Linked DNA regions of Callithrix jacchus. The protein of the gene in region 1 purifies or fractionates together with the protein of each later gene. This does not show direct contact. Links are inferred from orthologs where the notes say so. Each region holds a gene or a part of one and is shown on either strand. Other genes may lie near its edges.

What was found.
Region 2: the proteins of KMT5C (region 1) and CBX3 purify together in Homo sapiens (affinity purification with western blotting; 3 studies listed by BioGRID and IntAct, with this or other methods). This does not show direct contact. The link is inferred for Callithrix jacchus from reciprocal best matches to the Homo sapiens genes KMT5C and CBX3.

Annotation. Positions count from the first base shown.
Region 1 is NC_133523.1:48,211,053-48,214,962, forward strand, and holds the start of KMT5C (histone-lysine N-methyltransferase KMT5C), read left to right. Parts: upstream 1-1,514; 5' UTR 1,515-1,582; exon of another isoform or gene 1,583-1,768; intron 1,769-2,630; 5' UTR 2,631-2,736; intron 2,737-3,403; 5' UTR 3,404-3,546; coding exon 3,547-3,656; exon of another isoform or gene 3,657-3,823; coding exon 3,824-3,910. UniProt on the Homo sapiens protein: Histone methyltransferase that specifically methylates monomethylated 'Lys-20' (H4K20me1) and dimethylated 'Lys-20' (H4K20me2) of histone H4 to produce respectively dimethylated 'Lys-20' (H4K20me2) and trimethylated 'Lys-20' (H4K20me3) and thus regulates transcription and maintenance of genome integrity.
Region 2 is NC_133512.1:31,891,423-31,895,232, reverse strand, and holds part of CBX3 (chromobox protein homolog 3), read left to right. Parts: intron 1-1,316; coding exon 1,317-1,479; intron 1,480-3,810.

The DNA.
Region 1 (3,910 bases):
GATTTGCTGCCTTCCTCCCCTTCACCCACATCTGGCATTTCTTCCCATGCTATCCCTCCCCAACTTGTATTTTTTTTTTTTTTTTTTTTAGTAGAGACGGTGTTTCTCCATGTTGGTCAGGCTGGTCTTGAACTCTCAACCTCAGGTGATCCACCCGCCTCAGCCTCCCAAAGTGCTGGCTGGGATTAACAGGCATGAGCCACCGTGCCCGGCCAGGCCCCAAGATTTATAGCTACCCGGTGGACTGCATGTGTGACGGTGATCCTATAAAATTATAATACCGAATTTTTACGGTACCTTTTCTATGTGTAGACACACAAGCGCCTACATTGTGTAACCGGACAGTAACATGCTGCACAGCTGTGTGGCCCGGGAGCCCCGGGCCACCTTCCAGCCCAGGTGTCAGCAGCCCTGCCACGTAGGTGTGAGTGAGTGAGTGGCTCTAGGATGCTGGCAGGATGACGACATCGCCTGAGCACGCTGCTCGGATGGTATCAGTGTGGTTAAGCGAAGGATGGCTGTGGCGAAAGAAACACACAAGCAAACAAAGACCGCCTGTTCTGAGTGTGGAGCTTATTATTCTTGGCGTAATTATGATGAATTGTTAGTTACGTTTGCCTCCAGGGTTGAGGTGGAGAGGTGATCCCAATTAGGGGGTGCCCCAGGGGAGCGCCCCAGAGACAGCGCTTGTCTCTAAAGCCCCCACTCCTCCCTCAGCCTCCCCTCCATCCGACCCCGTTCATATCGCGGGAAAGTCCCACAGAGTTCCTGTGGATACTCCCAAAACGAAACGGCGTAATCGGGAAGGGAGGGAAAGAGACAGTAGTCTGGGAGGGAGAGAGACTGGGGAGCCCTTTGTAGCCAGGTAGAGCTGTCAATAAAGTTTCGTCGCCTTGGCAACCACAGGCCTCGAGGGGCGGGAGGGGAGAGGGACGGCGGTGCGCGCGCATTCCCCGCCTCCCTCACGCCCAGCTCTGGCTTTCTCCCTCCTGCGGCAGAAGCTTTCCTAGGAGAAAGAGAATAAGGAGGCCGCGACTCTATGGTTGATGGACGGAGGCTATAGCTAATGGAAAGAGGGGCTGTCCCAATGCCAGCCAATCACATACGACTACCGGAGCTGGCAGAGCCCGCCCTCTTTCCACTTGGACCTGAATAACCCGACCCAATCCGAATTTCGCCGGGAGCGACTGCGCTTTCGGCCAATGAGTGCGTCCATTTCGGGCTTCAGTGGGGGCAGGAGGCGGGACAAGTCTCCAGGGCAGCGGCTGAAGGACAGCGATGTGAGCCACTCGCAAGAGTACGCGGCGTTTGACGGAAGCGGGGGCGTGGCGGGATTTTATCGGGCACTGACGAAGGACTGGTGGGGAGGGAAAGAGTGGGGCTTGGCCAATGAGAGGACCGTGAGCTTCATAGCAACGGAGGAGTGGCGGTGGCTTTAGCCAATAGAAAGCCTCAGTGGCCTTGGCGGGGCGGGCCCAGCGATCAGATGGGAGGTGCGGCGACAGTGTTTGACTAGAGCTGAAGGAGGCAGTGGGAGGTGTTGGCGGCGGCGGCGCGGGCGCCTGAAGAGGAGGAGAAGCGGGTGAGGGGCGGCGCGGGGCCCGACCTCTGAGCCCCCTGACGGCCCCAGCCCCGCGCCGCCTTGGCTTCCAGTTGCTCCCTGCCCCGACTGCCCCCCACCCCGCCCGGCCCCTCCTCGTGTCCAGGCGCCCACGTCTCCTGTCCCCTCGCCAGGCCTCGGGCTCCGCAGCATCGCAGCCTCCTCCCTGTGCGTTCTCACCCGGGCCTCTTCCTGACTCCCTTATCACGTCCACGGCCCTCCCTGCACCCTCAGGCCGCCTCCTGCACCCCTGACCTCGCCCTCCAGGCCTCTTCCTGCACCCCCAGGGCCTCCCTGCACCCCCAGGACCTCCCTGTCCCCTTTCTCACCCCTGCGCCCTCCTCGCACCCCCAGGACCTCCCTGTCCCCTTTCTCGCCCCTGAGCCCTCCCCGCACCCCCAGGGCCTCCCTGTCCCCTTTCTCGCCCCTGCGCCCTCCCTGCACCCCCAGGGCCTTCCTGACCCCTTTCTCGCCCCTGCGCCCTCCTTGCACCCCCAGGGCCAATACCTGACCTCCCCCCACCCTCCAGGCCTCCTCCTGCACACTCTAGGTCTCTCTGTGCCCCAGAACCTCTCGCTGACCCCCTGTCCCTCTCCTCGTTCTCTCTGGACCCTGAGGTCGGCCTCTGACCCTCCAGGTCCCTTGCCCTGGGCTTTCACCGCCTACCCAGGTCCTTCCCTAGGGTCTCCCTTTCCGGGGTCCCTCAGGACCCCACAAAGCCCTGTCTGGTTCCCGGGGTCGCTGTCTGCCCTCTCCGGCCCCTCACTCACTGGACGCCCAGGCACTTTGCCGTCCCCCGTCTTGTTCCTCCCTGGGTCTCTAGGCCTTCCCCCTGTCTCTGTCCTTCCTGGCACCCCCATCCCTTCCTCACATCCTCTGGGCACCCCCAGGCCGGGCTGCAGCCTTCTCCCTCCCGCGGTCCCCTGCCGTCCCCACCACTGTGCGTCTCTGTCTTTGCCCCCAGCCTCCTTTCCAGCTCCCCCGCCGTCCCCGGCGCCCTCCTGCAGCGCCCCCTCTTTCTCTCCCGCAGCCTCCCAGTCTGTTCCCGACCCCTCTGCCGCCGTCTCTGCAGCTCCCGCTCCTTGCCCTGCCCGGTCTCATTTTCTCCCGGGCGCAGATGAGCCTTGGGCGACCTGGTGCGGGGACACGACTGGCCGTCTGTCCGCGTTGGGGTTTTGGGTTGTTTTCTTCCTCTCAGTTCTTTCCTTGCTCTTTAAAAAAATTTGTTTGTACATGCTGACCTGTGCTGCCTCCCCACCCCTGCTTTTGTCCTCTGAGCCCCCCTCCCCTGGAATCCTTGGAGAGGGAGCAGGTGCTGGGATCCCTCCCCATGCTCTCCCTCCCCACACCCCCCTCACGCTGCCTGGGGTTTCACCCGGAGCCTCCCGACCACTCCCGGAGGCTGCCGGGGAGGCAGGGGGCGGAGACCGAGGCAGGGCCGCGGTGGGGGTGGAGGGCGGGACCTCCGGCTGGCGGGAAGCTTTGACTTTTCCTCCTTGAGGGCTAGAGGTGAAGCCGCTCCCCACGGTGCTAAGCCTTTAGGGTGATCCTGGCTGCCAGTCAGCCTTTCCTGGGCCGGTAGAGATATGTGTGTGGAGGGTGTCTCTGTGCACATTGCATGGGTGTGCCTGGTGCCGTTTGCACGTGGGGGCTGTAGTCTGCGCTGCAGAAGGAGAGGGGATAGAGACGCTAAGGTGATGACTGACATCACTCTGGGTTTCCCCACTCTCAGAAGTACTTGCTGCGTTCCATCTTTGCCAGCAGTCTGGCGAAGTCAGCACTGCTTTTCTCCCCATTTTGCAGATGAGGTCTTGGGGCTCGCCAGCATCCCCCACCGCTTCTGAGTAGCGTAGGAGTGGAGTCAGCACCAAGCCAGGCTCCCCACACCCGCCTTGCCCTCACCTGCCCCTGCTCTCTGCCAGAGGCAGCATGGTCCGAGGGGTACCATGGGGCCCGACAGAGTGACAGCACGAGAACTGTGTGAGAACGACGACCTGGCCACCAGCCTCGTCCTAGACCCCTACCTCGGTTTCCGCACCCATAAGATGAATGTCAGGTGAGGCTGCCTGGGGGTGAGGGTGGGCCCGAGGGGTCAGGACCCCTCCCCTCGTACCACGGCCATCCCTCAGCCCGCTTCTCAGCCTGGTCCTCCCCTCAGCTCCAAGTGGGGGTTGGGGCCGGGGCCCGGAAAGGCCCTGGGACCCAGGCATGCCTCTCCCCCAGCCCTGTGCCCCCCCTGCGGCGACAGCACCACCTGCGCTCAGCGCTGGAAGCTTTCCTGAGGCAGCGGGACCTGGAGGCTGCGTACCG
Region 2 (3,810 bases), on another chromosome or scaffold:
CAGCACACTGCAACTTCTGCCTCCCAGGTTGAAGCAATTCTACTGCTTCAGTCTCCTGAGTAGCTGTGATTACAGGCGCCCATCCCCAGCCCAGCTAATTTTTGTGGTTTTTTTTTTTAGTTGAGACAAGGTTTCACCATGTTGAGCATGCTGGTCTCAATCCCCTAACCTCATGATCCAGTTACCCCAGCGTCCCTAAAATTACTAACTTCATCACACCTAGTTCTGTAAAGGTTTTTTTGAACCAGAGCACGAAGTTGGCAAGCCGGTTGTTGGTGTAGGGTGATCTTACTTTCACGTCTATTAATTGATACTCATTTTCTTTTTTACAGCAGTTCTAAAAAATCCATAGAAATAGTCATCTCAGCCTTACATTGTATCAGGGGTCAGCAACCTTTCCCCCTAAAGTGTCATGTAGTAATTATTTTCTGCTTTTCGGGCCACAGGTCTCTTGTCTCTACATCTCTGCTCATCTAAACGGATGAGTGTGGATGTGTTCCAATGGTACTTCATTTGTGGGCACTAAAATTCAAATTACGTATAATTTAGTTTGAAATATTTTTCCAACCATTTAAAAACGTAAAAATATTTTTAGTTTGCAAACCATACAAAAGACTGGATTTAGCTTTTGGTTTACCAGCCCACTCTATACCATTTCCCAATTTGAACACCCAGCAAAAATTGAAAATGTCTAATGCTTCAGAATCATTATGTCTTAAAACATGGCATTGGAGGTCCCAACCCTAGACATGATATGACATACTAATTTGGGGTGGGAATTGGGAATTTACATTTGTTCAGCCGTTTGAATTATTCTGTTACAGTAAAGTTTACTTCACTTGGAAGTAAAATAGCAGATTTCTCTCAAAAGACTTGTCGGGCCTGGGTGCAGTGGCTAACACCTGTAATTCTGGCACTTTGGGAGTCCAGGGCTGGAGGATTACATGAGACCAGGAATTTAAGACCAGCTGCGAGAGACCCCTTCTCTTTTTTTTTTTTTTAAGTGTTTTAAGTTAGCTGGGTATGGTGGTGCATGCCTGTAGTCCCAGCTACTGGGCGAGTGGGGAGTGGGAGCTGAGGCAGGGGATTGCTTGACCCAGGAGTTGGGAATCTTCAGTGAGCTGATCGCATCACCGCACTCAAGTCTGGGCAACAAAGCAAGACCCTGTCTCCGGGGTCGGGAGAAATAAAATGTAGGGAAGGAGGAAATGATTAGTATCTGCAGTACAGAGGACTTTTTATTTCCCCAGGTGTCTATTAAAATGGATCTGGGTAATGGGGATGAATCATGTTTAATTGAATTTTTTTTTTAACAGTGCTGACAATACTTGGGAACCTGAAGAAAATTTAGATTGTCCAGAGTTGATTGAAGCATTTCTTAATTCTCAAAAAGCTGGCAAAGAAAAAGATGGTACAAAAAGAAAATCTTTATCTGACAGTGAATCTGATGACAGCAAATCAAAGAAGAAAAGAGATGCTGTAAGTATACAGTATTGCCTAGCAGCCTGTCCGTTTGTAAAAGGTTGATGGCTTGATTGATTGATTTTGAGACAGTCTCACTCTGTTGCCCAGGCTGGAGTGCAGTGGCGCAGTCTTGGCTCACTACAACCTCCCCGTCCAGTGCAAACTCCTGACCTCAGGTGATCCATCAGCCTCGCAAAGTGCTGGGATTATAGGCGTGAGCCACTGTGCCCGCCTGATGGTTTGGTTTTTTAAAAACTCAGGCTGGGCACAGTGGCTCAAGCCTGTAATCCCAACACTTTGGGAGGCCAAGGCGGGTGGATCACCAGCCTGACCAACATGGTGAAACTTCATCTCTACTAAAAGTACAAAAATTAGCCAGGTGTGGTGGCACATGCCTGTAATCCCAGCTACTCAGGAGGCTGAGGCAGGAGAATCGCTTGAACCCAGCAGGTGTAGGTTGCAGGGAGCTGAGATTGTGCCACTGCACTCCAGCCTGGGCGACAGAGTGAGACTCTGTCTCAAAAAAAAAAATCTCAACTACTTTTCTAAAAGGCCTCTTAATTCTACTTTAAATATTTTAATACTTAGGGCAATAAGAATAGGTGTGGTTTAGTCTACATTATGTAAATGTGCAGTAAGTGCTTATACCACTTGGGCAGTTTTTCTTAGTTTCATGGAGTTGATCACTGATCCAACCAATCACCCGTGATCCAAGGCTAGCAATCTTTAGTACAAACAATACTAAGATTGGATTATTGAAAGCCATTGTATTACAGTAAGAACAATGTAAAGAGAACTTTCTGATTATAGTTCATTAATGGCATTGACCATCAAAAAGTACTTGTGTGTCATCTTAGTATTGCCAAACAATGCACTGATTTTGAAGTATATAATCTTCGATAATAAAAACTGTTACACATATTCTTGGCATGAAATGAGCTATTTAGTTCCTTCAGTATACATATGCTTTGGTCCAATCTTTGCTTCACTTATATCTCTGTGGCTTCAGAAAGTCAAGTAACCTCTTACTTCTACCCTTGACTGTAAAACTAGATTATACTTGTCTTGCCTACTGACCTAGTATGGCAATTTGGGGAGATATCTTTGTGCTGAATTAGATTCTAGGCTCTGGCACTAAACAGACAATACATATTAATTGGTAAGGACTTGGGATTTGAAACTTGATCATTTGAAGTAGAAGCCAAGAAGTCTTACCTTCATGACAACTCATTGTGTATAAGGTCATAGGTATAGTCACTATTTTATGGATGAAGAAATGAGATTGACTATATATTTGGTTCTGAAAGTAAATCATGTGCTCAACAGAAGCACAGTTTTGGCCAGGCACAGTGGCTCGCACCTGTAATCCCAGCACCTTGGGAAACCAAGGCAGGAACATTGCTTGAGCCCAGGAGTTGGAGGACAGTTTGGATAACATAGTAAGACCCCGTCTCTACAAAGAAAAAAATATATCAGTCAGACGTGGTGGATGCCTAGTAGTCTTAGCTACTTGGAAGGCTGTGGCAGAAGTATTGCTTGAGCCTAGGAGATCAAGGTGCAGTGAGCTGTGATCATACCAGTGCACTTTGGCCTGGGCAACAAAGCAAGACCTTGTTACAAAAAATTATTAGATAATCGAGCACAACTTTAACAATACTTTTTGAACTGTTACCATTTGCCATACTGTGTTCCAAATCATTTGCATTTCATGTGCTGTGAAATACCTATGCAGTAGATACTAAAATTCTATTTTATTAACCTTACCACAAAGAGGTTAATTAACTTGCCCAAAGCCACACAGCTCATGAGCAGGGTAGGTCTGTCATTCTCACCCAGGCAGTGTGACGCCAGAGCCTGTCACATTGATATAAAACTCTGATGGGGCGGGGCGTGGTGGTAGCTCACACCTGAAATCCCAGCACTTTGGGAGGCCAAGACATACAGATCATCTGAGGTTGGGAATTCGACACCAGCCTGACAAACATGGAGAAACCCTGTCTCTGTTAAAAATAAAAAATTAGCCGGGTATGGTGGCACATACCTGTAATCCCAGCTACTTGGGAGGCTGAGGCAGGAGAATCACTTGAACCTGGGAGGCAGAGTTTGCAGTGAGCCAAGATCACACCATTGCATTCCAGCCTGAGGGACAAAAGTGAAATTCTCAAAAAAAAAAAAAAAAAAAAAAAAAAAAGATAGGGGCTGGGTGCTGTGGCTCACGCCTGTAATCCCAGCACTTTGGGAGGCTGAGGCAGGCGGATCACGAGATCAGGAGATCGAGACCATCCCGGTCAATATGGTGAAACCCAGTCTCTACTGAAAATACAAAAATTAGCTGGGCATGGTGGC